Macaca mulatta: one gene and its partners. The protein of the gene in region 2 interacts with the protein of the main gene of each other region in a pairwise test. Links are inferred from orthologs where the notes say so. Each region holds a gene or a part of one and is shown on either strand. Other genes may lie near its edges.

The links.
Region 1: the proteins of GABARAPL2 (region 2) and GIMAP6 interact in a two-hybrid assay, tested with the Homo sapiens proteins (2 studies listed by BioGRID). The two-hybrid records come from large-scale screens. The link is inferred for Macaca mulatta from reciprocal best matches to the Homo sapiens genes GABARAPL2 and GIMAP6.
Region 3: the proteins of GABARAPL2 (region 2) and KIAA1958 interact in binary tests that used the Homo sapiens proteins (3 or more experiments, as listed by UniProt). The two-hybrid records come from large-scale screens. The link is inferred for Macaca mulatta from reciprocal best matches to the Homo sapiens genes GABARAPL2 and KIAA1958.

The regions. Positions count from the first base shown.
Region 1 is NC_133408.1:190,049,792-190,060,663, forward strand, and holds the start of GIMAP6 (GTPase IMAP family member 6), read right to left. Parts: upstream 5,355-10,872; 5' UTR 5,243-5,354; coding exon 5,153-5,242; intron 4,310-5,152; exon of another isoform or gene 4,254-4,309; coding exon of another isoform or gene 4,182-4,253; intron 3,111-4,181; coding exon 3,026-3,110; intron 1,533-3,025; coding exon 739-1,532; 3' UTR 1-738.
Region 2 is NC_133425.1:70,916,919-70,927,769, forward strand, and holds the start of GABARAPL2 (gamma-aminobutyric acid receptor-associated protein-like 2), read left to right. Parts: upstream 1-3,401; 5' UTR 3,402-3,525; coding exon 3,526-3,559; intron 3,560-3,889; coding exon 3,890-3,945; coding exon of another isoform or gene 3,946-4,003; intron 4,004-5,054; coding exon of another isoform or gene 5,055-5,079; coding exon 5,080-5,252; intron 5,253-10,851. UniProt on the Homo sapiens protein: Ubiquitin-like modifier involved in intra-Golgi traffic. Modulates intra-Golgi transport through coupling between NSF activity and SNAREs activation. It first stimulates the ATPase activity of NSF which in turn stimulates the association with GOSR1.
Region 3 is NC_133420.1:45,737,957-45,748,828, forward strand, and holds the start of KIAA1958 (uncharacterized protein KIAA1958 homolog), read right to left. Parts: upstream 5,937-10,872; 5' UTR 5,906-5,936; coding exon 4,735-5,905; intron 1-4,734.

The DNA of each region.
Region 1 (10,872 bases), on a different chromosome or scaffold from region 2:
GCATCTCTAGGGGCTTCCATGTTCTGTAGCCACGACAAGGAACCACCTTCTTGACCACAGCCTAGCTTCTTGGATACCTTGCCCCCGACTTCTCCCATCATTCCCACTAGGAAGTTCCAACGGGGCTTGTTTGTTACAGTTCAAGAGTGAACAAAAGGGCTGCTCCTCCTGCCTCCATCCCTGTTCCTCCTTGCTCTCCTCTCAGCCCAGTCTCCAACCCTCCCCATGTCTCAGCACCACTGCCATGTTCCAGCCACCAGACACAACAGGCACCTTAAACCATCATGGTGTGGGGAGAGATGAGACGTCATCTGGTCAACAGCTCGCACAGAGCTGCTGCACCAAGTGTGACTGCATGACTCCAGTGCAGTCAAAAGCTGTGGAAGTTACACAGAAGTAAAAGATACAGGCCTGCCCTCAAGAAACTTTGGTTCTATCAGAGTATAGGCAAGTAAACCATGAAAGGCAATGCCAGTGAGATAGAAGGTCCAATAGGAAGACAGCATGCTGTTGGAGCACAGAGGAGGGAGGACCCAGATGTTCTAGAAGAAGGAATGAAGAAACTGGGATGTGATCTGGGCACACTAGACCCCGTCCTCCAGCCCCATGCCTCTCTTCCTACACCAGACATCATGACCTGGAGACTGGGAAGCACTCCATGGGATGGAAAGAGAAACAGAGGACTGGACACAGGTGTGCAAGGGCTGATGGTGTCCTTGGCTCAAGTCCAGCACAGGCTCAAAGGTCAGCCCTCCCCAACAGGCGTCTGTGGGCTTCCTCAGATTCCTTCTGGATCTGGGACAGTCCTTCCATCCATGACTCTTCACCAGGCACGTCCTCAGAGCCCTGATCCTGTGTTACTTTCCTTTCCTGTAGTTCTTTGAGTGACAAGTTTTGCTGGGTATATTGGTAAGCCTTGTTGCTGTAATAGTTGCCTTCGTTTTCCCACAAGATGGCTTTGACATTCTCCATAAGCTCTTGCAGTTGGGCCTCCTGCTCCTCCCCCTGAGCCCTGTTGTTGAAGCTGCAATGGCGCCGTGCAACGGTCACATCCAGCTGGGCAAGGGCCTGGTTGTCGGTCTCTCGCACATAGTCTTCCAGGGAGCCGCCGGCCAGGTCTTCCTTCCGGGTGAACACCAGGATGGTGTGACCCAGAACCCCCACTCCAAAGACCTCCTGCAGGCGTCTGACCACCTGCTGATCCTCATCTGTGAACCGGCCCAGCTGTGTCACCAGAAGCACAGCGTGGGGCCCTGGGGAGGATAAGATGATGGCTTGGCGGATAGCGGCTGCCGCCTCCGGCAGGACCTGGGAGGACAAAATGTCAGGTGTGTCAATCACCTCAAGTTCCTTCCCAGACCACTCTCGGCTCCCTCTCTGGGAGGTCTTGGTCACGGGTCTGGTGCTGAGTTTAGACTCAAAGACGTCCCTGCCAAGGATGCTGTTTCCTGTTGCACTTTTCCCACTTCCTGTTTTCCCCACAAGAATGAGCCTCAGTCTCCTTCGGGTCTTCTGTTCTTTCTCCCTTAGACCTAGAAGTATCCAAAGAAAGCAGAAGGAACTGGGGTTAGGGCCCATGTACCCCATCTTGTTCTCACCAGAAGCCCCTGGTGTACCCCCAGACTGCAGGGGCAGATTGTCAAAGACCAACATCTGCCCTGAAACCAGCGCTGGGCCACCATTCTGGGTCCACATTCTTGAAGGTGGGGCTGAACATTCTCTCCCAGTGAAAGAGTGGAGCCTAGAGAGAAAAGCGAGACTTGGCCAATAGAACACCAAGACACCCAATACCAGGGTTTTTAGATATGACTGGGGAAGAAGGCAGGAAGGAAATTCCCTTCTCCTGGTCTTGCAGGTCCCAAGACCCAGAGCACATAAAGAAGTGACAAGTAATAGCCGGTTTCCCAGTCTTGTCTCCACTGAAGACATTGATGTATCTCAGATGACAGAGCATGAAGCTGGCATGTGGCAGCATGGGGGCAGTCACCTCCTGGGTACCAACAGGCCTTGCTGTGGCCTGCCAGCCACCCTTGGCTCTGACCCACACACCAATTCTAACTGAGTGACACTGGCCCCCCTCCAGCTTCCCCGAGGTGGTTGGAAAGGAATTCGAGTGAATGGGCAGGAGTCTGGGCAGTAGATGTTCTTCCCCACCCACCTAGCCCAGTGCAGAGCCAGAGGAGACAGGAACCCCCATCTGAGAAGCCTGGAGCTAGCACACACCACTGGACTTTACTAAAGCCAAATGCATCACTTGAGATCTGGAGAGGATTCTTAAGGGAATAGCTAACTTTGATTGCTGTAACAAAAGGTCAAACCGGTGTTAGCACAGGTATTGGTAATTGGTAACCTATTGTAGTAGGTTAACATGGCTTTTTCCAGATGGCTCAGGCCATTTAAGTTCATAAAGTAAAAGGTCATTCATATTAAAATACATAATGAATCACAAATAATGTATTCTGGCCAGGAAAGGGCTGGGTTTCCAGCTTTTCTAAATCCTGCCTGAAAGTTAAGCGCCTGACCCTGTGCAATGGCTTTAGGGAAAGGGACGCCCTCGATAAGGCAGAGCCCAGATGTGAGGCAGCAGCCAAGTACATTCTGCTTGTTCACAAGGCGCTTTCAACCTTACAACCGTGACAGCTCCACTTTGGAGTCAGTCAAACACCCACACAGGGTCTTGGTCCAAGGCCACTTATTTTTGTCACACCCACTGTCAGCACATCCTTCCTGAGGAAGAACATCCACCATGTGAAAGCCTTTCCTTTGGGACTGGCATGGTGAGTTAGTCATTGGTGCTATTTTTTGCCTCCTTTTATCTACCATACCTACCCAGGGGTCTTTTTTCTTATTTTGGCTAGTGATAAGAAGGGCCCTACCTCAAAGACCTCTGATGGTGACTGAGGTGGGTAAATTTCTGCGACCAGGGGACACCAGCTGTCTCTCCAAGCACATCATGGTGGCGGAGCTGTGTCCCACCTGCACCCCAAATGTTTCCCACCCGCTCCTCTCTCCTCATTCGCTTTACCTCCTGACAGCTCTGGCACAGGATCCTGGGACAGCTCTTCTCGGGGATTCTCCTGGGGCATGTGTTCACATTCATCTTCCTCCATCTACATAAAAAAAAATCATATGTTCTACTGACTTTCCAAATGAGTTTCAACAGCTACCTGCCTTTCGCCTTTCTCTTGCCAGGGGAAAGTTTTTTGCATTAGTTTAGGGTTGGGGTGGGACTGAGTGAGGCAATGGAAGAAGGGGTCTAAGACACTCTCTGCTGTCTTTAGGGACCCTATTTCTTTAGGGACCCTATCCCCCGCCCCCTCCACTGTGGTCTCCATAAGTTTAAGAGATTTTACAGATAAAGGTGCAACTGGCCTGGGACCTGAAGAATGGATGATATTTGGATAGACACAGGGTCTGGAACTGTTCTGGGAGGTGGGGGGAGGTGGAGGGGGAGGCAGTGGGGAGAAGGTGGGGGAAGGAGAGGAGGAAGAGGAGGAGGAGGAGGAGGAGGAAGGGAAGCACAGAAGCAGGTGTGATTCTGATCCTGTGTGCCCTGGGAGCAGTAGGAAGTCTAGTGTGCCTGGAGGACGTGAATGAGTAGGATGTTGTTGGAAGGGTCTTGGGGCCAGACTTTGGAGAAGACTGTGCAGTGAGGATTGCAGAGAACTGGGATTGCAGGGGCTGAGCTGGGAAGGAAGCCAGAGACTTCAGGGGAGATGCAACCACCAGTTAGGTCTACCTAGGCCTCAGCATCCCATCAGTATGAATGTTGGACCTGAACCAGATGCCTGTGAATGTCTCTTCCCCAATTAAGGTCCCAACATACTTCATAACATTTTTTAGAGCAATTCTTAGTCCTCTTTGCAAATTAGGGCCACATCATTCCCAACCAGGAACTCCTGTCCCCCTTCCCATGACAGCAATGTGTCCTGGCTTCATGGACTAACACAGTTCTGTATGTCAAGATCCCATAAGGTTCTCTCTGCAGATTTTCTCTGTGCGACTGAGGAGGAAGTTGCATGGTCCATGACTGTTTTTCCAGATCATGTAGGACATTCATAACCAGATGAAACAGATCCAGATGAAGGGTCTGGGGTGTGGGGAAACCTAAGTCCAGGGGAACCTGATAGACAGGTTTTTCTCATTGCCACATTGTTGTATTTTTGTTCTACTCTGCTCACCTGGCAAACACTCCAGTCCTCCCCAGATCCCAGGAGTGTATATGTGGATATTGCTTTATGATTGGTAGACATCAATTTTGCAGTGCTGGGCTGGGGATGGAGGGAGTCCAGGAAGGTCTGGTGACTTTCTAGCAAGAGAGAAAAAGCAGACCAGGCGGACAGCCTTACTCAAACTTGAACAGCCAGATTCTGGAAAGAGTCCAATATTTCACCTACCAAAGGGAGTTCAGTTCTTCCTAACTGGTGGTCTCTCAATCTCTTTGTTCCTGACTTCCTTACATCCCTGGTGGAAACTGAGGCAGCACTTTACCAATGTAATCTCATTCCTCCTTTAGAGAGAACAGGCAGGCAGCTTAACAGGAAACAACAGCCGGGTGGGACTAGGCTGTGGCATGCAGGAACCTGCAGTGTGCCCTCGCAGGGTTTTGGGGGAACGGGTCTGCACCCAAGGTGCCTCCCTGCCTCCTCCTGGACCCTGCCTGGAATGGCGCCTCCCATATTGGCCACAGTGTGTGTTGTCTCCAACACAGAAGATGGAACAGATAGTACCATCCTTGTCATGTTGCTCTGGAAGAAAGCAAAACTCAGAGAAGCATCTTGCCAAATATTAAACAGTGACTTTGTCACAGGGCAAAAAGTTCTCCAGACTTGTTGGTCACAGCTCTTTTTATCACATCACAAACCTGCACACACCACAGCACACAAAAATACACAACACACACACACAAAACACATGTACCACTCACACACATGCAGATGAACACACAAACACATACACACACAAACACAAATATACATACACAACACACACATATGCAAACAACACTCACATACACATACAACACAAACATCACACACACAAATACCACTCACATTCATGTTAACACATACAAACATGTAAACACACATATACAACACAAACACCCACACATACACATCCAAATATGACACACACAATTACTCAGACTTACCTCTGCACCAGCTAACAGGGAAGAGAAAGGGCCACGTTTCTTGTCTCTCAGCCACACACTCTCACGGAGGAGGCAGAGGAAAGCTTCCATGGTGTATGAACAACATGGAGGACAAGGCCGATGTTTGCTTATATTTTCAGCAAAACGTGATCGAAGAGCTGGGCTGGAGACCTGCCTTGAAACAGCAGTGTCTGCTGGAGATGGAGGAACAGGAAGTGGGCAGGAACACCCGCCCTCCTGAGTCAGGGAGCCTACTGTTGCACTTTGCAGCCTCGGAAGTAGAAAAAGGGAGGATACTAGTGGTGGGATTATTTTTATCCTGAGCCAGGATAACTAGAACTCAGAGCTTAAAAAAAAAGCAGATGCCTCAGAAAGACCTGTGTCAGGAAGAGTGACTTTCTCCTGATCTCTCTTTTCTAAACCCCACCCCCTCCCCAGGGAACTTCTATGCCTCAGTATTGGAGCAAATGGTCATTGTCTCCTTTCTTCCCCAGCCTCTCCTTCCTTTAATAGTTTCTCTCAGGACAAGGTCTGATACTCATTACCTGTAAGGCATGAATCATTGGCAATGACAATTGTTACAGCTTCTAGAAGATCTGCACTATAAGAAGAGGGAAAATACAAAATAATGTCTAAAATGTAGGGTTAAAGAGAGCACTTGTTATGTAGGGTTAAAGAGAGCACTTGTTATGGGAGAAGAACAATATTTTAAACAGAGGCTAAGGGAGAAAAAACCTCAGCATCCTCAAAAACATGTTTTCTAGGACTTTACTGACAGGTCTGATCACTGTGGCTAAAGGGAAGCCATTGAAGGAAGAAATTGAGAACATAGGAGCATAGGTGATGATATTGTTACCACATGATTTTAAAATGTTAAGATTCCCTTAAAAAAATCCACTCAATCTACCATAATAGTTCTAATTTTCTTTTGTTCTGTTCTGGTTGATAGTCATGGTGTATTTACTAAAATTGTTACATAGTATGTGTGTGTGTGTGTGATATTTTATATATATATATATCTTCTAATGTTCTACTTAAATTATTCTGTAAATACCCTGACATAATTAATTTTTTTTGAGACAGAGTCTTATTCTGTCACCCAGGTTGGAGTGCAGTGGTGTGATATCAGTTCACTGCAACCTCATCCTCCCAGGTTCAAGTGATTCTCATGCCTCAGCCTCCCGAGTAGCTGGAATTAGAGGTGTCCGCATGCCCAGCTAATATTTTGTATTTTTAGTACAGACAGGGTGTTGCCATGTTGGCCAGGCTGGTCTTGAACTCCTGACCTCAAGTGATCTGCCCACCTTGGCCTCCCAAAGTGTTGGGATTATGGGCATGAGCCACCGCGCCTGGCCTAACATGATTAATTCTTAAAAGTCATGTGTTGATCTTTACCATTCCATTGCCTAAGTATTTGGAAAGTATTTAGAATGTTATTACTCCACCCATAATTGAAATTAACCATCTATTTTGAATTTTAATCATTTCCATCTTCTGCAAGCTGACCCTGGAGAGTTGCCAGACCTGTGGTTGACTGAGCAAGCCAGGGATCATTCAGCTCAGTGTTCAGTCAGTCATGAGACTTGGGAAGTGTTTGTTACTGCAAGGTAATCTGGCCTAACCTGATTGATACAGCATATGAATCTGATGTTGGTTCTTTTGGGTTGTTTTTTATTTTTTGTTTTTCTTTTTCGCTGACTCTCACTTTTGGTGATTTCTTTTCTGGAATTACATTCACAGTCTTTGATTGTGAACTTAAGTATGGAAATCCTTGGGATTGAAATCAAGGTGGCTTTACTCCAAAGAGGATTTGTGTATATTTTTATCAGGAACTGACAAGGGGGTGCTGGCACTACTAAACTGAGACCACTTCAACCCCATTTTCAGATTTCTGGCTTAATCCAGAAATTCCTCAATCTACAACTCACTTTACAACTGATTCCAAATTTAGGCTCCAGAGAGTATGGCTGAGAGCTTCATTTGCTCCTGGGGCAACCAGTCTTCCCTTTGAGTTTATGGCTTTACTGCCATTTCAGTTTAAGATTTATTTATTTATTTATTTATTTACTTACTTATTTACTTACTTATTTATTTGGTTATTTAAAAAAAATTTCCCACATGGTGTTATCCCTCACTTCCTGCAAGCCAAATAATGTATTCTGTTGTTTTGTTGAGGGAGGTCCTCTGTATCCTAATGTCTTAAACATAGCATATTTACAAAGAATGTAATTCACAATCTCTGTCACGATCTTGTTTCTTTTTTTATTATTATACTTTAAGTTCTGGGGTACATGTGCAGAGTGTACAGGTTTGTTACAAAGGTATACACATGCCGTGGTGGTTTGCTGCACCCACCAACCCATCATCTACATTAGGTATTGCTCCTAATGCTATCCCTCCTCCAGCCCCCCACCCCACAGCAGGCCCTGGTATGTGATGTTCCCCTCCGTGTTCCATGTGTTCTCATTGTTCAACTCCCACTTATGAGTGAGAACATGCAGTGTTGGAGTTTCTGTTCTTGTGTTAATTTGCTGAGAATGATGGTTTCCAGAATCATCCATGTCCCAGCAAAGGACATGAGCTCATCCTTTTTCATGGCTGCATAGTATTCCATGGTGTATATGTGCCACATTTTCTTTATCCAGTCTATCATCGATGGGCATTTCAGTTGGTTCCAAGTCTTTGCTATTGTGAACAATGCCAAGATAAATATACGTGTACATATGTCTTTATAGTACAATGATTTATAATCCTTAGGGTATATACCTGGTAATGGGATTGCTGGGTCAAATGGTATTTCTAGTTCTAGATCCTTGGGGAATCACCACACTGTCTTCCACAATGGATGAACTACTTTACACTCCCACCAACAGTGTAAAAGTGTTCCTATTTCTCCACATCCTCTCCAGCATCTGTTGTTTCCTGACTTTTTTTTTTAAGTTTTTAGAGTTATTTTCATTTATTTATTTTTTTTTATTATACTTTAAGTTCTAGGGTACATGTACATGTGCCATGTTGGTGTACTGCACCCATTAACTCGTCATTTACATTAGGTATATCTCCTAATGCTATCCCTTCCCCCTCTACCCTCCCCACAATAGGCCCCAATGTGTGATGTTCCCCTTCCTATGTCCAAGTGATCTCATTGTTCAGTTCCCACCTATGAGTGAGAACATGTGGTGTTTGGTTTTCTGTTCTTGCGATAGTTTGCTGAGAATGATGGTTTCCAGCTGCATCCATGTCCCTACAAAGGACACGAACTCATCCTTTTTTATGGCCGCATAGTATTCCATGGTGTATATGTGCCACATTTTCTTAATCCAGTCTGTCACTGATGGACATTTGGGTTGATTCCAAGTGTTTGCTATTGTGAATAGTGCTGCAATAAACATACACGTGCATGTGTCTTTATAGTAGCATGATTTATAATCCTTTGGGTATATACCCAGTAATGGGATGGCTGGGTCAAATGGTATTTCTAGTTCTAGATCCTTGAGGAATCGCCACACTGTCTTCCACAATGGTTGAACTAGTTTACAGTCCCACCAACAGTGTAAAAGTGTTCCTATTTCTCCACATCCTCTCCAGCACCTGTTGTTTTCTGACTTTTTACTGATTGCCATTCTAACTGGTGTGAGATGGTATCTCATTGTGGTTTTGATTTGCGTTTCTCTGATGGTGAGTGATGATGAGCATTTTTTCATGTGTCTGTTGGCTGTATAAATGTCTTCTTTTGAGAAGTGTCTGTTCATATCCTTTGCCCACGTTTTGATGGGGTTGTCTGTTTTTTTCTTGTAAATTTGTTTGAGTTCTTTGTAGGTTCTGGATATTAGCCCTTTGTCTGATGAGTAGATTGCAAAAATTTTCTCCCATTCTGTAGGTTGCCTGTTGACTCTGATGGTAGTTTCCTTTGCTGTGCAGAAGTGCTTCAGCTCAATTAGATCCCATTAATCAATTTTGGCTTTTGTTGTTGTTGCTTTTGGTGTTTTAGACATGAAGTCCTTGCCCATGCCTATGTCCTGAATGGTATTACCTAGGTTTTCTTCTAGGGTTTTTATGGTTTTAGGTCTAACATTTAAGTCTCTAATCCATCTTGAATTAATTTTCGTATAAGGAGTAAGGAAAGGGTCCAGTTTCAGCTTTCTACTTATGGCTAGCCAATTTTCCCAGCACCATTTATTAAATAGAGAATCTTTTCCCCATTTCTTGTTTTTGTCAGGTTTGTCAAAGATCAGATGGCTGTAGATGTGTGGTATTATTTCTGTGGGCTCTGTTTTGTTCCATTGGTCTATATTTCTGTTTTGGTACCAGTACCATGCTGTTTTGGTTACTGTAGCTTAGTAGTATAGTTTGAAGTCAAGTAGCATGATGCCTCCAGCTTTGATCTTTTGGCTTAGGATTGTCTTGGCAATGTGGGCTCCTTTTTGGTTCCATATGAACTTTAAAGTAGTTTTTTCCAATTCTATGAAGAAAGTCATTGTTAGCTTAATGGGGATGGCATTGAATCTATAAATTACCTGGGGCAGTATAGCCATTTTCACGATATTGATTCTTCCTATCTATGAGCATGGTATGTTCTTCCATTTGTTTATGTCCTCGTTTATTTCACTGAGCAGTGGCTTCTAATTCTCCTTGAAGAGGACCTTCACATCCCTTGTAAGTTGGATTCCTAGGTATTTTACTCTCTTTGAAGCAATTGCGAATGGGAGTTCATTCATGATTTGGCTCTCTGTTTGTCTGTTATTGGTGTATAAGAATGCTTGTGATTTTTGCACATTGATTTTGTATCCTGAGACTTTGCCAAAGTTGCTTATCAGCTTAAAGAGATTTTGGGCTGAGACGATGGGGTTTTCTAAATATACAATCATATCATCTGCAAACAGGGACAATTTGACTTCTTCTTTTCCTAACTGAATACCGTTTATTTCTTTCTCTTGCCTGATTGCCCCAGCCAGAACTTCCAACACTAAGTTGAATAGGAGTGGTGAGAGAGGGCATCACTGTCTTGTGCCAGATTTCAAAGGGAATGCTTCCAGTTTTTGCCCATTCAGTATGATATTGGCTGTGGGTTTTCATAAATAGCTCTTATTATTTTGATATACATTCCATCAATACCAAATTTATTGAGAGTTTTTAGCAGGAAGGGCTGTTGAATTTTGTCAAAGGCCTTTTCTGCATCTATGGAGATAATCATGTGGTCTTTGTCTTTGGTTCTGTTTATATGCTGGATTACGTTTATTGATTTGTGTATGTTGAACCAGCCTTGCATCCCAGGGATGAAGCCCACTTGATCATGGTGGATAAGCTTTTTGATTTGCTGCTGGATTCGGTTTGCCAGTATTTTATTGAGGATTTTTGCATCGATGTTCATCAGGGATATTGGTCTAAAATTCTCTTTTTTTGCTGTGTCTCTGTCAGGCTTTGGTATCAGGATGATGTTGGCCTCATAAAGTGAGTTAGGGAGGATTCCTTCTTTTTCTATTGATTGGAATAGTTTCAGAAGGAATGGTACCAGCTCCTCTTTGTACCTCTGGTAGAATTCGGCTGTGAATCCATCTGGTCCTGGAATTTTTTTGGTTGGTAGTCTATTAATTATTGCCTCAGTTTCAGAGCCTGCCATTGGTCTATTCAGGGATTCAACTTCTTCCTGGTTTAGTCTTGGGAGAGTGTATGTGTCCAGGAAATTATCCATTTCTTCTAGGTTTTCTAGTTTATTTGCA
Region 2 (10,851 bases):
CTTAGAACATTACATAGCTAAATACAATGACCCAATGTGTAAAGAAGGTGGTACATATCATCAAGGTGGATGAAATAAGTCAATTAGAATGGTGAACCGGGAAAAGACACTAAGAAAGTAGGTAAGGATGGAAGACCAAAGTGCATTGCACATCATCGAGACCATCAGGAGACATGTCTATGAATTGGTGTGCAGTGAAATATTCCCCTAAGAAGTGTTTTTAGCTCTTTCACATGCAAGACAATATACATATATCTTGGACTAGGACACAATGACCAGCTCTGTAAAGGGAAGCAGGGGTGTTGAGTCCAATTTCTAACTCCTCCACTGGTTCACTGACTAGGAGATGGTGAGCAACCATCTTCATTCTTCAGTGTTTAATTCTATTTGCAAAATAGGTATTTTCTTTTTTTTGAGACACAGTTTCACTCTTGTTGCCCAAGCTGGAGTGCAATGGTGTGATCTCAACTCACTGCAACCTCTGCCTCCCAAGTACAAGCAATTCTCCTGTCTCAGCCTCCCAAGTAGCTGGGATTACAGGCATGTGCCGCCACACCTGGCTAACTGTTTTGTATTTAGCAGAGATGGGATTTCACCACGTTAGTCAGGCTGGTCATGAACTCCTGATTTCAGGTGATCCACCTGCCTTGGTCTCCCAAAGTGCCGGGATTACAGGCATGTGCCATTGTGCCCACCCAGGTATTTTCATTTTTAAACTCACTGTCTACCTACTCTTACCCAGTTTAATAGCTTGAAATATTTCTAAATTTGAGACTCATAGCACCATTCACCAACTCTACATCTTCACTTGGGTGTGTCTCCTGGACATCTCATATTTAATATCTCTAAAACCAAACTCTTGTTTTTCACTCCCCAAGCTGGCTCCATCCTATTTCAGTAAATGGCAATTCCATCCTTCCAAAAACCTTGATTTTGATCTGTCCCTCATATCTTACATCCAATCTATCAGCAAATGTTACCATTTTTACCTTCAAAATATATTCAGAATACAACTGCTTCCCATCACCTCCCTAGACCCCACCTTGGCCTAAGCCAATATCATCTTTCACTAGGATTATCACAATAGTCTCTCGACTATTTCCCTGCTTCCACCCTCAGCGCCTACAGTCTACTAAGCTAGCCTTTTGAAAAGGAAAGGCAGATTGTGTTACATCTCCGCTTAAACCCCTACACTGACTTCTCATCTCATTCTGAATAAAACCCAAAGCTCTTTGCATGGAATTCAAAGCTCAACACAGTTTTGTTCTAGAGCTCTTTGAATTTGTCTCATAACACACTCTCCTCTCTCATTTATTCAGCTCCAGCCACAGGGGTTCCCTAGAACATGCCAGCCACTTTATCTAATTAGCATTCCATCCCACACTTTAGTCACCTACTCTGCTTTATTTTTCTAAACAGCACCTATCATTACCTAACATATTTATTTTTTGTCTTGTCCCACTAGAATATGTCAGGGGGACAAGAATATCTCATGCTCCCACCCATAAGAACAGGGGTGTCATCTGTCTTCTTCACTGTTTTTCCCCAGCACCTAGCACAGAGCTTTTGTATGTAACAACAGTAATTTCTAAGTAGGAAATTCAAAGGCTTTTTTCACTTCATTACAAACGAACAAACAAACGCAGTGGCTCACACCTGTAATCCTAGCACTTTGGGAGGCCAAAGCGGGCAAATCACTTTCTTGAGGTGAGAAGTTCAAGACCAGCCTGGCCAACAGGGCAAAACCCCATCTCTACCAAAAATACAAAAATTAGCTGGGTGTGGTGGTGAGTCCCTGTAGTCCCAGTTACTCGGGAGGCTGAGGCAGGAGAATCGCTTGAACCCAGGAGGCAGACTGTAGTGAGCTGAGATTGTGCCACTGAACTCCAGCCTGGGTGACAGAGCAAGACTCTGTCTCAAAAAACAAAAACAAAAACAAAGAAGCAAACAAAAAAACTGTTCTAGTTGCTCAGACACACAGTTTTAAAATAACAAAAATACTTTTAGAATGAAGCTAGATTCCACAGCATCAATCAGGAATTTCCAGTGTAGGAAATGATGAACTACCATGTTCAAACATACAGGCTTTACAGGTGCATCAGAATCACAAGCACGTGGCAGAGTTCATGTGTCCAATTAAGTGAACATTCTTGCTACATGTTCAGCAGCTTATAAACAGATGGTGACCCACACCAGACTGCCTTGATGACTCTGCTTGGAAAAAAGGCATTACGTCACTGACTGGAGAATCTCAAAGCATATGTCCGGGCAGGTGACACACACATAGCTCAGGCTGTGATTGCTAAACCACTTCCACAGCCAAACGAGGAAAACCATCTCATGACCAGCTCTCAGGGGAATTCTCCGAATCTGACAGTCACCTCTAACTCCTCTGCCAGCTAAGATTAAGGGGTCTGTGATCAGTGATGTTACACTCCTCAAATGTGCATTTTTTTTTTTTTGAGGCAGAGTCTTGCTCTGTTGCCCAGGCTGGAGTGCAGTGGTGTGATCTTGGCTCACTGCAACCTCCACCTCTGTGGTTCAAATGATTCTCCTGCCTCAGCCTCCCGAGGAGCTGGGACTACAGGCGCCCGCCACCATGCCTGGCTAATTTTTGGGGTTTCACTACGTTGGCCAGGTTGGTCTCCAATTCCTGACCTCAGGTGATCCACCCGCGTCGGCCTCCCAAAGTGTTGGGATTACAGGCGTGAGCTACCGCGCCCCGCCTCAAATGTGCATTTGTGATACCTTTTCGTAAATGTTTATTCAAATATTTATTCACGAATAAAGCAAGAAAATGGGATTTGTTTAAATTCAATTTCTAGGTCCAAGGCAACCTATTACAGCTGTCCCTAATACTGTACCTCCGGGTTGTCCTCAGTGCCACCTCCTACAGTGTCCTCAAACACCACCCCTACCATACTGAGCCCCCAATCTGTCACCCCTCCGAGCAATACTCCCCAACTTTCAACGCCCTAAACAGCTCCTTTGTTATCGCCAAGCACTAGAAACCCCTCATGTCATTCTTACCCCTAAAGACCGTTCTTGTCACCAATTCCCCATTCAGACTTTCCCTATGAACCGCTCTAAGCGCTCTCAACTATCAGCCACACCCCCAAACAGCCCTCAGTAAGAGCCCTACACTATCAGCCAGACGTTTCCCGCCACCAACGCTCCCGAGACCCCACTCCTGTCACCAGTTCCCCGAACATTCCTTCCTGGGGTCGCAGATGCTGCTCACAGATGTCCCCGTAACCAACTTCATCACCTCCGTAGCCTAGGATCCTCCGAGGGGGCCATCCGCTGCCCCGCCCCTTTACTTGCGGCCCGGCCCCTTGGCGCGGCGTCCTGGCAAATAGCGCCGGAAGCCCCGCCCCCGACCGGTTGCTAGGCTCCGACAGCCGGAAGTCCCGCCTGCCGTGTAGTCGCCGCCGTCGCTACCGCTGCTGCCGTCGTTGTTGTTGTGGTCGGTGCGCTGAGCTCCGCGGCTCCGAGAGCCGGTTCCGTCCCTTTCCCGCCGCCGCCATGAAGTGGATGTTCAAGGAGGACCACTCGCTGGGTAAGCACTTGGCCGTCGGCCGGGCTGCTGGTGGCCGGGGCGGCGGGTGGGCCCCCTCCCCCACTGTGGCGGCCCTGGTTCGGGTGGAGTGGGGCGGATGCCCTGCTCCGGTCTCGAGTCGCCCAGGCCCTGGTGCCTGGGGCAGCCGCCTCCTGACCCCGTGTCACCCTCCGCGGGCCCTGCTGGGAGCAGTAGGGGACAGGACCGCGGCCGCAGGGACGCCGGAACCAGGGCCTGGGCTGTGCGCAGGGCGCAGGAGGAGGAGGGCCGGGGGCCGGAAACCGACCGGGGGGCAGGCGCAGCCGTCAGCCCTGTTTGTTTCTCCCACAGAACACAGATGCGTGGAGTCCGCGAAGATTCGAGCGAAATATCCCGACAGGGTTCCGGTGAGTGTTTGGACTCTCCGCCCCCTCACCTCGCTGTCACCTCTGTCGTCTGGGACCCGTAATAGGCCCCAGGCCATTCAACAGTTGACAAGTTGAGATTCCAGTCCCAGTTAATAGTAACTGACAGGCCAGACCGGGATGAGGCGTTCCAGGGCCGGGGTGTGAGGGGCTCGGGCTGGTGCTGTTCAGGGTGCCTCAGTGCTGAATCTCCCGATCTAGGCCAGCGAGCCGTCTGCAGCCTCGGGGCTCCCTGGCCAATTATGTAAGGAACGATGTTCTAGGACAGGGCAACAGGTCACTGCCACTTTTGGGAATGGTGGTGGAGCGAGACTGTCACTTTGGTCTTGGAAGTGGTACTTGAGTCTCAGGACGTTCATCTTTTACTTTGAGCCTCCATCTTTACCTAACTTCTAGCTCCGTTACCTCACCTTGACCCTGTCATCCTTGCCTGACCAAAATAATGTGAAAAGCGCTGAAAACCCTTCTGCCATGTTTTCTTCTTAGTCAATAATAAATATGATGTTATATTTCTTTCATGGTTGGGGAGACAGTTTTGTAATCCTTATTAATTTTTAATGGACATTAAGGCCTGTTATTGTAGCTCTTTGCTTGTGAATAATTCGTCTCAGGAAAGGAGTAGGAGGGACGGATTTGAAACTTGTTCAGAGAGGAGCAACAGGCCAAATGAAGAGCTTGGTTCTTGACTGGCTGAAATTCCAGGCATTCCCATTAGTCCATCCGTTCTTGTCTCCTGTGTTCCTTGGGAACACAGTAGTGTTTCTTGTAGTGTGAAGGTGGATCCATTCTGGGGTCCTAGAGTAACGGACCATGGATGAAATCCTCCCCAGATACTCTTAGGTCTGCCCAGATAAAATGTGGAAAAGCTTAGTAGTAAGGGCTGCATTTCTCTTACATAATTGACCACAGAAAAGCACTTACCGTTTCCCTATAACACATTTATATCAATTCTTAACCTCCAGAGCGTGTGGTTTATTAAGCCAAAGACATATTTTCTCCTGCTATGCAGTTTCCCACCCACCTCCTTGCCCACACTCTGTTCGTCAGCTCCTCAGCCATGTGAGGCCAGAGCCTCCCTTTAGGAAACGCAGTCCTGACCTCTCTTTACTTTCCCAGGTGATTGTGGAAAAGGTCTCAGGCTCTCAGATTGTTGACATTGACAAACGGAAGTACTTGGTTCCATCTGATATCACTGTGGCTCAGTTCATGTGGATCATCAGGAAAAGGATCCAGCTTCCTTCTGAAAAGGCGATCTTCCTGTTTGTGGATAAGACAGTCCCACAGTCCAGGTGAGAGGTGTTTACTAGATGGGCCCTCTGGTATTAGACATCTGGTTGGCTGCTTATGAAACTCCAAACCTTTGGAAGTCTGAAAACTCTTAGGGGTCCTGACTAGAAATCTGTATTTTGTGCTCCCTGACATCAGGGGCTCCAGGAAAATAATGGCTGCAATACATAAGAGTGCATTTTGGATTCACAAAATAGAACAAGGCCTGGACTTTAAAAAAAATGATGAAACTCAGCCTAACATCTCCAAGAATCTTTTAAAACAGTTGAGAACTTATTTAGGCTTAAGCTATAGGTAGAACTGAGGCCTGAAATGAGGTTTTCTTTCCCGAAGGCAGTCCTGGCACGCTCCTCCACTGGGAGCCTGTGGGCCCTGCTGAGGCTCACTCAGTTAATCATCCAGTTTGCTTGCTTCCAAACTTGGTCAACTCTTTGACATTGTAAGTGTCTATAGTTGCCTGATCCTCAAGTCTGACAAAATGACTGCTGCACAGTAAAGGGCTCTGAAGTCTTTTTATAGACTCATACCTCCCTTGGTAGCACCTGCTTTGACTGTCAGACTATTGTGCTGCCTGGAAGCAATCTTTGGGACTGTAACTTGTGGCCTGAATGTAGGCAGAGGCATTAGAATTCCCCTTTTCTGTGTATTTGATAGCCCAGCTTTAGTCCCCTGTGGAAAGAGGAAAATGGAGGGGCTCCGTCTGACATCCTAGTCAGTCCTTTCCCATTACTGAGTGGGTAGTTTTAGGCCCTGATCCAGATTCTGGCCCCCACCTCTCCCCTGAGTGTGAGTTCCTGGCCACATCTTATCTTAGTGACCCAATGTAGGTTTCATATACCACCCCCAGAAGTAATACTTCTAAAAGTGAAGGCTTTCAGAAGCCCTGGAAACTAGCCCAATGTTGCCCACATAGGTTCCTGTTGAAAATCCTTGAAGTCTCCAGAAGAGGCCTCTGCCAAATTCCAGTTACTTACTTCTGTTAAAGGTGGAAAGCTCTGGCTATTTTTTGGTCTGATTTCCTCTTTCCCAGTGTCCTCCACCTCCACTTCCTGGTGTCTGATAGAAAGGCAGGGGAGAAATGGAAGCTCCCTCCCTAAGGCCAGCGTTCAACCTGAGGAGACAGCCCAGGGCCTGCCCACTGGACACCACTGGTCTGCCACAGCTGTAGCTCTGGAAGCTGTGGTGTTGCTTGAGGTGATCTTGTCACCCATAGGGCTCTTCCAACCTTCCTTCCCAGGCCTCTGGGCTGTGTCTTCACCTGGGGAGGAAGCCTTGGGCATCCGTGGTTACCCTGGGCTTTCCTTAAGGTGTTTGGGGAGGTAATCTTCTTTCATAACATCTGCAACTTCTGCAGAGTCTTGGTGACCCTGTGTTTCCTACTTCCCGGAGGTGGTGGCTCAGTGGGAGAAAGTAAGTGACTAGGACCTATGGCATTGAGTTTATTTTCCTCAATTCTGATTCTCTGGTTCTTCTCAAAGGAAATGAAGCAGGTTTCTGGAGACCTTCAGATTACTCAGATGGCTCCACAGTAATCTGGCAATTAAAATGGCTACAGGTCTTATCAACTTCCCCTCCCCCATTATCCCTGAGATAGAAATAGAATTGGAAATGAAAAATGATTTTTCAGGGCAGCAGAGACTGCTTCAACCCATTTTCTCTCCAAGTCCCGTTTTCCTTTCCAGTGTGGTGAGAATCAACCCTAAAGCAGATTACACTAGTAACTCAAGTCAGGATTTTAGGGCCGAGTAACCAGAAATCCAAGACCCTTCAGGATTTAGTCACCAACTAGGACCCTTTTGCCCAGGCTGTCAGTTCTTTTGGCCCTAGTTAATGACTGTCACCCTACATTTAATGCAACTGTTCATTTTGGGGCTTTATTCTCAGAAAAATTTTTTTTTTTTTGAGACAGAGTCTCACTCTGTTGCCCAGGTTGGAGTGTAGTGGTGCAATCTCAGCTCACTGCAATCTCTGCCTCCTAGGATCAAGTGATCCTCCCACCTCAGACTCCCTAATAACTGGGATGGGACCACAGGTGCGTGCCACCACACCGGGCTAAAAATATAAATTTGTTTCTAAACAAAAGAGGCTTGTGACATCATTGGGCTTTATGCAAATGTAAATCAGCCATAAACATAAACAAAAAGTGCCACAGGGTCCTTCCTAAAGCTGGCTATGATTCAGCTTCACCATCTCTTCCCAAGACAATTTGCAGCCTCTTCCTCAGGTCTTTTCAGCCTCCTTAGGGAAGCATGGAGCCTCTCTTAACCTTCATGCAGTGCTTGCTGGCTTCAAAGAGTGGCTGGGGAAATTAGAGAAGGGATGAATTCAAGCCTGCAGGAGCCCTCCCTCTCCGATGACTGACTGGTCTGCATGAAGATCAATTATGTCTGAGGCTGCAGGAGAATAAGTTCTCAGTTATTTCTGCCTTGGAGTGAAAAACAGGCGGTCACCATGTAAAGTGTCATGATTTTTATTTAGAGTAGTTAGTATTAAATATTGATTCTATAAATAGAGACAGAGGCAAGTCCCTAAGTTTTACTTCCTAAATTCAAGTTCTTGTTTCATTTAAAGAAAAGGGAATCACAATGGCCTTTTCCCATTTAGCGTTGGAAAGTTGAACTCTCTGCTTAGGTGCCTGCATCAAGAATCAGGCCAAAAACGGAAGGGGAACCATGCCTTTGTTCAGACACAACTTCAGAAAAAACATCAGTGTACAGGTTTCCTACTCATGGCCTTAGAGGGGAACTCAGACCTGGCAGTCAATGGTCTTTGGTCTTTGTTTATTTAGAACATAGATAAGAGTCTTGTTAATCCCCTGTTTAAAATAGAAACAGGAGTATATCATTAAATAAAATATCTCTAAGATACTATTTTTTGTTGTTGTTGAGACGAGGTCTTGCTCTGTCACCCTGGCTGGAGTGCAGTGACACAGTCTTAGCTCACTGCAGCCTTGAACTCCTGGGCTTGAGCACTCCTCCCACCTCACCAGGCTGGTCTCAAACTCCTGGCTACAGGTGATCCTCCTGCCTTGGCCTCCCAGAGTGCTGGAATTATGGGTGTTACCCACCACACCTGGCCAGATACTATAATTTGACATTGGGAAACCTGTGCTGTTTAAGAATATGGTGTTTATTTGCTTCTGGATCTTAAAGAGATCTTCAGTAAAAGGAAGCTGTGATGTCTTGGAAATGAAAAGTGATTATCAGGGCAACGGAGACTGCTTCAAAGCCATTTTCTCTCCAAGTCCCATTTGCCTTTCCAATCTGCTGAGAATCCACCCTAAAGCAGCTTATACCAGTAACCCAAGTCAGGGTTTTAGGACAGAGTAACAAGAAATCCAAGTCCTGACTCTTCAGATCCCAATTAATGACTTCACCCCACACTTATTCATCCTTTATTTAGAAATGTGCTTAAAGCACTTGGATCATTTCTGGGTAAATACTTAAGGACAGGACATTTTTTTTTTTTTTTTTTTTGAAACGGAGTTTCACTCATGTCGCCCAGGCTAGAGTGCAGTGGCACGATCTCGGCTTACTGGAACCTCCGCCTCCCAGCTTCAAGCGATTCTCCTGCCTCAGCCCCTGAGTAGCTGGGATTACAGGCGACCACCACCACGCCTGGCTAAGTTTTTTTGTATTTTTAGTAGAGACGGGGTCTCTACTAAATACAATATGGGGTCTCACCATATTGACCAGGCTGGTCTCTAACTCCTGACCTCAGGTGATCTGCTGACCTTGGCCTCCCAAAGTGCTGGGATTACAAGCGTGGGCGACATGACTGAAACTCTGTCTCAAAATCAAAACAAAAAAAGGAACAACAACCAGTGGTTAATCTTTATATTTTGGAATCTTGGGGAGCATCAGGGCCTTATTAACTTTGACTGTGAAGCAAGTGCCTCTCCAGGATTGACAGCAGTGGTCATTGCCCTTCCACCTCCTACCACCTATCCTGCCCTGCTGGAGAAGAGATAATCCAAGGTCCAGTGGAAGCACATGGGCTCCAAAGCAGATGGGTGCCCAGGTGTGCTCATCAGCCCAGCCAATTCATGAGTCAATGTAGACCCCACAGCCTCCATGACCTGCCCTTGGTTGGGGTGAACGTAGGTTCTGTAGGGATTGGGCATCCACACAGTTCTAGGTCAGCCTTTCCCAATGCATAGAGCTGTTGAGTAGCATAAACTGATGTCTGTCTAGAGTCACATGGCCATTCCTGATGTGGATCCTGCTGTAACTTTCCCTTTTTTATTGCACAGTTTCTCCACTGGAGAAATGGTTTTGCCTGGATCTATGTCCTTCAGTGGAGGGGTTGGGGAGAGGGCTTTAGGGGCAGTTTAAGTTCATTTTCACACAGTACTTCAGGGTCCCACTTCACCTGAGATTCGCTCCATAGCTTGAATCTACCACTGGCTTTACCCATTTTTTTCCTCGCCAGACTCAGAGCTTGGAAGGTGGCAGTGCCTCTTTACTCAGAGCAGCATCTTTCTCAGATGAATGCATGTGATACTTGATGCCACAGGGTGTGCATTTGTGTTAGGGACTGGAGGCCATCTTCAGGTGTTTTCTACAGCCACCTCCCAGCAACTTAGGCAGCAAGGCTTGGAGCTGCAGTGCTGCTTGCGAGTTGTCAGGGCATCCAGCAAGCCTGTGCAGCTTAGCTGGATAGATGCATTAGAGCTGCCTCCGTGCTTCAGGATCCTCAGGCATCCTAGCCTGCTCAGTGCTGTGTATAGCTCAGGCCTCCAAATTCTGAGGGAGAAGTTTATTTTCTCAGAGGTTTGTGGAATGTGTCCCAAACTGACACACCAGCCTTCTGCTAATAGACTGCCTGCTAGTGAGGGTTGCATTTTGTCTCCCTGCACTTCCATTTGAATATCCTTTTAATAGGACTTTTAAAAAATGAGTTAGTTTTTTTTTTAAGTCTGTTTGTGGCCCAGCTCATTTTGGCTGCAGGCCAAGTTATTCCTACTCTGCATGTATGCAGTCCAATCCCATAAGTGCTGTTTTCAAATCAGTCTTGCTTCATGAGACCCAGTAAAGCCTCAAAATTAGATGCATGTTCAGCATTGAGCATTGTCAGTTACCAAGTTCCTTGCCCAAGGGGTATCCTGACTATAAGGACACAGTGCTACTGCCAACTAAGTTTCCACATGAGGTTGTGTATCAGAAAAGGGGAAATATTGGATTCTTAAGTCATTAGGCACTAAGGCATCTAGTTGTCAAATTACAAGATCTGAAGGAGAGAGCCCTAAGACCTTGCTACTCAGCATGTGATGCAGAGACTGGCAGCAGTCGCCTTACCTGGGAGCTTGATGTTCCGATGATTGGTACCAACATTTGTATGAGAAGCACTGTTCTAAGGAAGATCTCTGCAGAAGGTACAAGGACTCTAATGTTAGGTCATCAGAACAGATCTAGCTGTTTGGACATTTGGAGGCAGCAAACCGTGGTGGTCTCCTAGTTTTTTGACCTGGAGTGAATTTAGAATCTCTGCGCCTCAGTTTTCTTATCTATGAACTATGGATTATGGTACTATCTACCTCATAAGGTTGTTTTAAGAATAAAGAGTTAACATATGTAATGTATGAGCAGTGCTTCGCACATA
Region 3 (10,872 bases), on a different chromosome or scaffold from region 2:
TGAATCTAATATGGAGGAAGGCAAGGTGGCAAATGGCAAGAGGGAAATTTGATACTGTCTGAGCCCGGGTGAAAGTTGGTTTGAAAATCTGTCCTTGGGCTATAAGGCAGTTAATTCTCTCCTTTAACTGATCTTAACTCAGATTTTCTGCTTTTGACAAGAGAAACCATTATCTATTGTGTCAACACAGACCAAATAACTGGCAGTAATACATACCTTAATCAATTTTTAAAAGCTCACTGAACTCAATTTTACATGAGTAATTTTTCAAAAAGCATATTAAATGATTTAGACTACATTTCTCTTTCTGAATGCATTTTTTGTATAAAATCACCATGAATTTATACAAATAAATACTCAAACAGTAAAAATTAGAAGAAAAAAATAAAGAGATCAATAAAAACAGAACTGAAAATAGACCCTATAATAAACAAAAATGTGGTATATGAATCAATTCAGTGAAGAATGAGAATTATTCAACAAATGAAGCTGAGACATCTATCTGCAAAAATAGTAACATGAGGTTCTACCCCAAAACGTATTCTAATTGTAAAGTCAAATGTCAAAAAAAAGAAAGGAAGAGGAGAGGAGAGGGAAAGAAAACCATAAAAGAACAAGAGGGAAATACAGAGAAATATTTATGTGATCCCAATGTATGGAAAGGACTTCCTAAGCAAAATACCAAAGACAGAAAAGATTGATTGACTGATAAGATGCTGAAATAATCGCCTTCATAAAAATTAAGAAAATTCATACCTCAAAAAAGGTCATCAACAAAATTAAAAGCTAATGGTAAAGTGGAAAATGCAGTTCCAATACACATGAGAGACTGAGTTACTTGGGAAATGTATTTCCAATATACATGACAGATTATGAGTTACTATTTCTAATATATGCAGAATCCATATGAAGCTATCAGAAAAAGATAAATATATATTTTTAAAAGAAAAAATATATATACATACAAATTTGATATGCAAAAATTGATTGCTTATACCACAGAACTTCTGGGAAAAGAGTTGATTAATAAAAGGGATCCTTGCACAAAATCATAAAAGAAGCTATGTGTATGTGAGTATATTGAAGAAATATAATATACACATAAAACCCTAACTCATGATGCAATCGAGATTTAAATGTCATTATGACAAATGCCCCAAATTTACATAAAACCTCAAAAATTAATGGAATCCAAGCTACTAGTAGGTAGTCAATAATTCTTCTAATAATAGATGCCTTCTTTACTCATTGTTTGCTAAGATTTGGATTGAGCAGTATGGCAGGATTGACATGAAAATTAATGATTTTATCTATACCTTGATTAACATTTTATAATTTTATGAGTTCAGCTCTGAACAGAAGTAGGGATGATTTTCCACTATGGGAATCAAATTTAAATGGCAACAGTAAAACCAAACAAAATGGAACAATTTCTCTTTGTTTCTGGCTGACTCAATAGTGATTTGTCAAATTATTTATTTTAAAAATGTTATCTAAAGATATGCAGTATTTCTACAATGATCTGATAAAGACCCAGTACAGAGCATCCACTTTAAAAGAGCCTGACTTAGCTTTCAGAACCTGTCTTCTTTGCTTAGTCCCAAGTACGCTTTACATATTAACGATGTAAGGTCCATTTGTAACAAAGTCATTCACGTGAATCTGGGTATGCTAGATTCTAAATTTTTTAAAATCTATGTTAGAAAGAAGATTACCTACTATAAATAAACATGCAAACACAAATACATAAATAAAACTTTAGAACACAGAATCTAATTAGGTACTAGAGTAAAAAGTAAATTTTATGTTAACTTTATACAGTTCACTCAAAAGAAAAATGTGAGTCTGAGTTTTATTTGTCCCACTGCTGTTTCCAGTTCAAATAGTATTTCTCCAAAGTTAATGACATCTTAGCAATAGGATATCCTTCCTCAGAACAATGGATCAAAACATGAGGACCATCCTTGGAAAATCGTCATAACTAGTCTTCATACTGTTTTTCTTAAAGGTTCACCTCCAAGCCAAACTAATCCTCCTCTGAGAGTAAAGCCAAATCACAATTTATGACCGTACATATTACATGCTCTCCTTGGGCATGCCTGCTTTTTATAGCTAATATAAGAAGTGCAATTTCCATGAGGGAAGAAAAAAACCTAAGAGAATGTAATATACGCAATAATAAATGGATTAGTATTTTTTTTCAAATAGGCTGAATTTCTTTCCCAAAATAATGAGACAGTAATATATTCATATATGGTTTAGCAAAGCGCCTCAGGGCCTCATTTACTATCCATGAGGCAGATGCAGAAAAGTCTTGCATCTTGCTTTGCAGGAATGAGTCACTGAAAAGGTATGCAACACAACTAATACTCTCACCAAACTGGGTACACTGGATCACTTGGCAAAATACATTTCTGAATTCCACCCTATTAAAATAATAATTTTAAAAAAGGCAGGAGAGCTCAAACAAATAAATAAACTAGAACCAGGTTCATAACAATTTAAGTGAAAAGGTACTACTTATATCCTACATATATTAAGAGTCAGATTTCCTGGAACAAAGACTTTCACCAGCCTAATAAAGATAACATTTTCTCTCATGATGAGATTAGCCAAGGACCACACTGCTATTCAATGATCAAAGTATAATTCATTAAAATATTTTTTAAAAGAAAGAAAGAAAAGGACTTATCCATGGGATGGAAGAAAATATTTGCAAATTATACACCTGATAAGGATCTCATATTCAGAATACATAAAGAACTCCAAAAAGTCACCAATAGGAAGGCAATTTTAAAATAGGCAAAAGATTTGAGTAGATATTTCTCAAAAGAAAATATACAAATGGCCAACAAGCACATGAAAAAAAATTTCAATACCATTAGTCATTAGGGTAATGCAAATCAAAACCCCAATAAGATACTACTTCACACACCCAATAGGATATTTATTATTTTTTTAAACATGAAAAATAACAAGTGTTGGTGACAATGTGGAGCAATAAGAACCTTTATAGATTACTAGTGAGGCTGTACAATGATGGAGCTGCTTGGGAAAACACTTTGGCAGCTCCTCAAAAAGTTAAATATAAAGTTACCACAGGACCCAGCAATTCCACTCCTAGGTAGTTACCCAAGCAAGATAAATATACACACTCACACAAAAACCTGTTCACAAATGTTCACAGCAGCATTATTCATAACAGCCAAAGTACGAACACAACCCAAATGTCCATCAACTGATGAAAGGAAAAATAAAATATGGTATAGTCATACAATAAAATATTATTTGGCAATAAAAAGGAAAGAAATGCTACAACATGGATTAACCTTGAAAACATTATGCTAAGCGTAAGAGGGCGGTCACAAAAGACCACATAATACATGATTCCACGTATATGAAACATATAGAAGAGGAAAATCCATAGACAGAAAGTAGATTAGTGGTTGCCAGGAACTAGGAGGAGGGAAAAAGTGACTGTTAAAGGGTATGGGGTTTCTTTTTGGGGTGATGAAAATATTCTGAAATTAGATAATGGTGATGGTTGTAACAATGCTATGAATACGCCAAAACCCATTGAACTGTACACTTTAAAAGAGTGAATTTTATGATATGTGAATGGTATCTCAATAAAACTATTATTTAAAAAAGAGAAAAGTGAATAAACTGAAAAGCATGATCTTCAATCAGGAGAGAAATATTTTCAGTGAATATCTTCTTAATAACACCACGACTATGTCTTCACAAAAATCATAAACTGAAGGTCTTCTTTGGGAATCTTAAGGTTGAAACTAAAACTGGAAAAAAAGTTTGTAAAGCAACTTAATCCAAGGAAGTTTCAGGATAAAGGCACAGGTGCCTCAGGCTTCTAGGAAGCATTTCCCAAAATACACGACGTTTTTGAGAAGGGCTGAAATAAACTAAAACATGCCACAGATTTCTGCACATTTGTTTGTCCTTGTCCACGTTTCTATTCTAACCTACTAGATTTGAATCACGAAGGCAAAAGCATGAGACCCAACCCCTTTATATACTAATGGCCCAGATTAAATAAATATTGAATGTCAGAATTAAAGAACATTAGAACATTAGAATTACAGGTGCGGGGGCCTCGTACAATTATTTCACTCTCCTCTCAATCCATTCCAGTTAGGCTCACAGATTCCAGAAATCCAAGTTTCCGTATTCTTTTAAATTTTAAGAGAAAAGATCAAATACCTCTTTTAGAAATGTCTATTGCTTTTTAAAAAACTTATTAACTACCACACCAACTAAAATGAATAGCAATGTCAAGTTGGCTCAGTCAAATAAATAATAATGGAAAAGCATTAGGTCTATTGTCAAGATATGCCTTACTCAACATCATTTTGGCTTCAAACAACAACTAAACACCTTGCTACTGATAGAAAAACGTATTTTTAAAACTTTCAAAAATAACTTTACTATATAAAAATTCAGCTGACAAGTATCAACCTTAAATCTAACGCTACAATATCAACAGAACAATCTTACAGCTGTCCTCTCAGCCCTAAGGTATGCCAACTGGTTATGGCCTTAATTCTTATGAATTTCCTTTATAGTATCACCTGGACATAAGAGTCATTGTTTCTATCTTTCCATGACTAACAAAGGACTGAATTCTAGCAAACTGGAGTGAATGGTTTTAGAAGTGCTGACGGCGCAGAATTCTGGCGTGCGTGGATGAGGGACTCGCTGTCGCCTCATATGCCATACCTGGTATGCACTGTGCTGTGGCCTCAGTGGTTATGGCTGGAGCGACTGGGGGCTGCTGCTGACTGGAGCTCACTTCTGGCTCTGTGTTAACTGAGGGAGAAAGGGCTACCTCACAGGAGGAGACCTGGCTGGGCAGATGGGACAGGAACTCTTCAGAGGCAACTTGTTCATCCTGTCCAGGCAGCTGCAGGGCAGACAAGGGGATACTGATCTGTTTGTTAGGATGGGATGTGCTCACAGGCATTTGCATGGCCACCTGTTGGTTGGTGCCATGGGTACCAGGGGGGCCTCTGTTTGGTGAAGCCAGAGATACCCTAGCAGTCTTCTGGACAACTGGTCTGGAGATCACAGAGGGGGATGCAGACATACCGTGTGGGTCTAGCTCCGTGCTGATGGCGGATGTGACATGGGGAATCAGTTTAGCAGACCCTACACAGGAGGGACCAGCGTGAGTCTGAGGCTTGGGTTTTGCCATCTGTGTCAAGGATAGGGCTGGTCCATCCACTCCTCCTGTCAGTTCTGCATTTGCCACAATGTAATAATCTTCAGGGATTTCTTGTTTGATTTTCTTGATGATGACATCATTGCTGCATTCGTCAACCATCTGCGCCTGGGAGCTTGAATGGAGGGAAGATGGGACTACCCCAGGTCTTTTGCGAGCAACGCTTTGAGGCCTTTGGGTTTGGGGTTCAAAGTCACTATCCTCATCTGTAACAGAAGACTCACAAACCATGTCAAACAGGGTGTTCTCATCTTCATATTCTTCAACAGTTTCATCCAGTTCAGAGGGCTCACTACAATAGGAGAAGTCACAAGAGTCTCTGGTCCGGTTACAGTCTAGCTTTGCTTTCACTGGTCTCCCAGGGTACCTTTCAACAGGGCTAGTCTGTGTCTCAGAGGGCACCCCGATTATACTGGGACTATCAGAGTTAAAACTTCTGTTATCCTGGAAACAGACCCTCTCTTGGGACCCAGCTCTGCAAGTAGCTGTTAGCGGCCAGTGATAAGCATGGCCAGCACTACAGCCCCACATTGCTGTCAGGTTCCCATGGGAACCTTCAGAAAGCAAGTGTTTCAGGTTTGGAATGAGGCTGCAAATAGTCCCATGGCTGTGGGCCCAGCTGACCAATTTGGACAGATTCTCAGATGAGGTATGAAGACAATCCTCCATGTTACAGGATCAGCAGTGTCACTCCTAAAGGGAAATAATCAAAAGAAGAAGCCATTATTACCCAAGATATTCCTATAGCTCGATTACTTCAGTCTGTTCCAAATATGATCATTTGGCATAAAAAAGAAATGCACTTCAAAACCGAATTTAGTTAATGTCGCTGTAGATGAGCAGGGACTGGAAGAGAATATCAGGAAAAGTAAAAACAGCTGATGACTCATGGTTGTGGGATTTGGAGAAAAATTTTGTTAGTTTTCTTTATTGTTGTAATAATTCCTGCCTAAGGGGGGAAAAAGGAGAGAAGGAAAAAGAAACAAGTAATAAAGAAATGAGCTTTTCCATGGTACATTTTACTTCCAGAGTCACCGACAGAGAGGTTCAGATGGTCCCTCAATAATAAAATTGTGTCTATTACTTGCATTAACCAAGAGGATGCAGCTCCAATGACACCCTTTGATGTCAGAAACTTCGCTACTAGAGGCAGAGCCAACAAAGGAGGTTTGGATCCATCTTAGGATAGAGGTCAGAGAAAGGACGCCAGTTCTCTGCTGGGCACCAGACGACAATGCAACTAGGAGTCCAAGGAGAGGATCAGGAGCTCGATTTGAGAAATGGGAAAGAAAAGTATTCAGCAGAGGAGGGAGAACAGACCGGGAAAAGACCTGCTGGAGGGGCAGGCTGTAGACCGAAGCAGCAAGGATGGGGAAGCAGGAGGCCCTGCTCTAACCACTCTTAGGATCAGGCTTCCTGTCTCCTGGCTGCCTGCAATTCCTGAAATATTGCCTTTCATCCCACCATTAGAGGTTACAAAGTATGTCTGGTGTTTTCCACCATCTGAGGGTCCCATAAAGCCAAGCATAACCAACCATCAAATAGAAGCAAATCATTCCTTATTAGGCAGGAGACAAAAAGAAGCCCTTGTTAGGAGTCCCTGAAGAGTGAGGACAACATGATGGGTAGGAAAGTGAAAGGTGACATGTGGAGTCTGCAAGGGGCTAGAAAGGTTAGTAAGGCTTTGCCAAGAGGCGGGTCCTGGGAGCACTGGGCAGGGAGGCACAGGAATCTTTATGTGTGATTTTATTGGCCCTGGCTATCTGCAGATGTGGGTAACAAGAGGTGACTTGCTGGTGCTCTGCACTCAGGCACCACGGTCTAACCACAATGTCAGGTGGTTACACCAAAGTGGACAGACACCTGAGCCATTCCCTGACCTGACTCCATGGCACCCTGTCAGGGAGGTTAGGTAGGTTCAAATCCTTTAACATACTATTAAGGTCTCTGTTGATGTGGCCATGGCCACCTCTCAAGCCTCATTTCCTATGACCATGTCCTCTTCCCATACTTCTTGTGGTCCCCTCTTCTCTAAACTCCCTACTGGTGAGAAACTCATTCTTCTGCTTGATATGCTGCCCTTCTCTTTCCTCACCTGGCCAGCCCCTTCAAAACTGAACCTGAGGCTACCTCCTACTGGCATCTTTCCAGACCCCCTTTCTGCATCAGAGATTTATTTAGCTTCCCTTCACCCATGCCTGTATCATCTCAAGGGATTTGCCTTTGCTGTACTATTATCATTGATTTGCTTGTCTGTCTCTCAGACCTAATAATTTCCTGAAGGCAGAAACTATGACTTAATTATTCACTCAGTGAGGACCTACTTGGGGATATGGAAATTCATAAGGTTCTTGGGACATTATAACCTATTGTCTAGTATGCAGTTGTTGTCGAATAAACGAATGAAGAATGAATGAATGTTTACATACTGCCAGCACCATCAACACTTACAAAGTGAACGTATAAGACTCTCAAGTAAGACACATAAATTTTCCTCGTATCACTTTTATTGTAATCATTCAAGGGATTAGACGATTTTCTGCCAGATAGTGTAACCAAAACCCAGCCACCTTGTATATGCAGAAGAGTGACAGATGAGCACCCAGAGTTCATGAAGCAGCCAAGTAAACGGAAAGAACAGTGACTGGCATGGGAATCAGGAACGTGAAATCCCAAGCCTGGAACTGCTCCCTGTGGTCTCAGACAAGGCACTAATAATCTCTAAGCCTAAAATGCCAGGACTACATGATCTTACGTCTCCTTCATACTCTAGAAATTGACTTATTTATGTTTCTTTCATATAACTTTGGTTAAAGTAGAAATGTAAAAAAAAAAAAAAAAAAAAAAAAAGGACATAGACTGGTTTGTTCTGAACTTTTTTCTTTCTTTTTTTTTTTTTTGCAGGGACAGGGGTGTCCCTAGGTAGCCCAAGCTGGTCTTGAACTGGGCTCAAGCAATTCTCCTGTCTCAGCCTCCCAAAGCTCAGGGATTACAGGCATGAGTTACTGCACCCCAGTCTGTTTTGAACTTAACATAGCTATTAATATTTAACTGGTGTGGCAGAGACTGCTAATTTGCCTACCCAGTGTCTGTTCTCGCTTAGTCCTCACAGACAGTCCAAATTTGTTGAGGCAGCAGTGTGCTCACTTAAGTATTTTTCCCAGCTTCCCCTGGAGCAACGATGGCTCCATGACACAGTCATGGTCAAGGACACGTAAATGGAAGGGATTTGGATCATAATCCTGAAAGACAAAATTCTGAATGCCATAGTTCCAAATGTTGAAATCCCGAAAGATCAAAATCCCTAAAGTCTAACATCCCCAAAATCACAATCATACGATAGCTACATCATGTTAAGTAGAACTATTACCTTGTTATTGTCTTTATTTGGAAATTAAGTATGGTTTAAGGAAATACATTATGAGTGATAAACTGACATGGGGTGAACTTGTGGACTTAAATTTAGGTGTCAGTTTGACTGGATTAAGGAAGACTTAGAGACCTAGTAAAGCATTATTTGGGTGTGTGTCTGTAAGGGTGTTTCCAGGAGAGATTAGTGTGTGAGTCTGAGTGGATTATGTGAAGATCTCGCCTGAAAGTTGGCAGGCACCATCTAATCAGCTGGGGCCCCAGAGAGAACAAATACAGAAGGTGAATTGTTCTCTCTCTCAGAGCTAGCACAGGCTTCTCTTTCGCTGCCTTGGACATCAGAACTAGAGGCCTCCAGCCTTTGGACTCTGGGACTTATGCCAGCAGTTCCCAGGTCCCGGCCTTTCAGCCTCAGGCTGAGAGTCACATCATCAGCTTCCCTGGTTCTGAGGCCTTTGGATTTGGACTGAACCACTATACCAGCATCCCAGGGTCGCCAGCTAGCAGACAGCCTGTTGTAAGACTTTTCAGCTACATAATCACATGAGCCAGTTCCCCTAATAAATCCCCTCTCATGTATATATGCATATTCTATTAGTTCTGTCTCTCTGGAGAATCTTGACTAATACAGATTTGGTACTGGCAAAGCCAAGTATCATTCCTTCTTACTGAATTCCTTACAACACAACAGAAGAGACTACGAAATGTTCCCTTGCAAAAGGGCTGTGATAAGTTAAATATACAAGGTTACTAAATGGTGAAAGATAAAAGTTTAAATGCTAATCATTATTGGTGCTGCACAAGCAGAAAATTGCTTAACTGCAGCAGCCAAGCAATAAGCACTTTCAGATGGATAGTATATACTTACAAAATTTGTAGACCACAACCACTCTCCGAATACAAGTGCAGCAAGTGTTTCAAAGATCACAGAAGTGAAAACACAGGCCAAAAGTACAAGAAATCTCCTGGCCAAATTATTCAATAGTGTAAGACTTCTGCCCCTTCACGTATAGCACCATGCTTCCATTCAAAAAACACCCTTCAGCAGAGAATAAAAAGAATTCAACAAGCTCAGTGACCTTCTGAACCAAAGATACTTGTTGATACTGAGGTTCCTCAGTGTTAAACAAACAAACAAAAAACTTTAAACGGTGAACTATTCTTGACTAGTGATTTGACTGTCAAAGAATACAGGTTTCTTATATTTACCACTAAATCTAACATACAAGAACTAGTACATGCTTCACTTTAGCTAAGAAATTGCACTTTCAAAATTGTTCCCACTGTTTATCAGCTATATACAATTCATGTCCCTGTTAGATCTGAAAATTCTAGAACTTATCCACTCAATTATGTATTAATGACAAGAAAAAGTAAAGCACTTAATAAATGCTTATTTGGGCCAGGTGCAGTGGCTCACGCCTGCAATCCCAGCACTTTGAGGGGCCAAAGTGGGCGCATCACTTGAGGTCAGGAATTTGAGACCAGCCCGGCCAACAGCCAACGTGGTGAAACCTCGTTTCTACTAAAAATACAAAACAAAATTAGCCAGGCATGGAGGCGCACGACTGTGATCCCAGCTACTTGGGAGGCGGAGGTTGCAGTGAGCCAAGATCATGCCACTGTACACCAGCCTGGGCGACTAGAGCGAAACTTGTCTCAAAAAAAAAAAAAAAAAAAGAATTCTAAAAGTGAATTTCAAAGTGTTACCAATAGTTTGTGTTTCCCATTCAGCCTAATGCATTTGGCAGGAAATTCAGATGAGTGGATTGGCTACAATGATATGGCAACGATACAAACTTCAGTTAAAAGCTTCGTTTGCCTGCACTGGCATTCCTTTCAGCAGATGACATTCCAGAAGCTTTTAATGAATTAAAGCCATATTGCCTGAAGAAGCCAGCAAAGTACTGACTAGTTCAAAAATAATTATGTGCACAATAGGATAAAAAGACACTTAATGCAATGGTGTTGCTGTTCCATCACCAGTATTGCTTCCGCCAAATTTGTGGTCTGTGTATGGAGTACATGTAGAATGGATTTCCATCTACCCACAAAACAGAAGCATGGCACAGAAAACGGGGAAATTTAATAGGCAATGCTCATGTTGTTGTATATGGAATCATACAAGAATTTCAAAAAGAACAGTACCACATGTAGAAGGAACATGAACGTATTCTCCAATGACAGCCATGTCCTAAAAGAAAAAAAGCAGCTATTTGTCAAGATGCAAGACTTCAAAATATAGTTAATGATCATGAAAGTCGGCC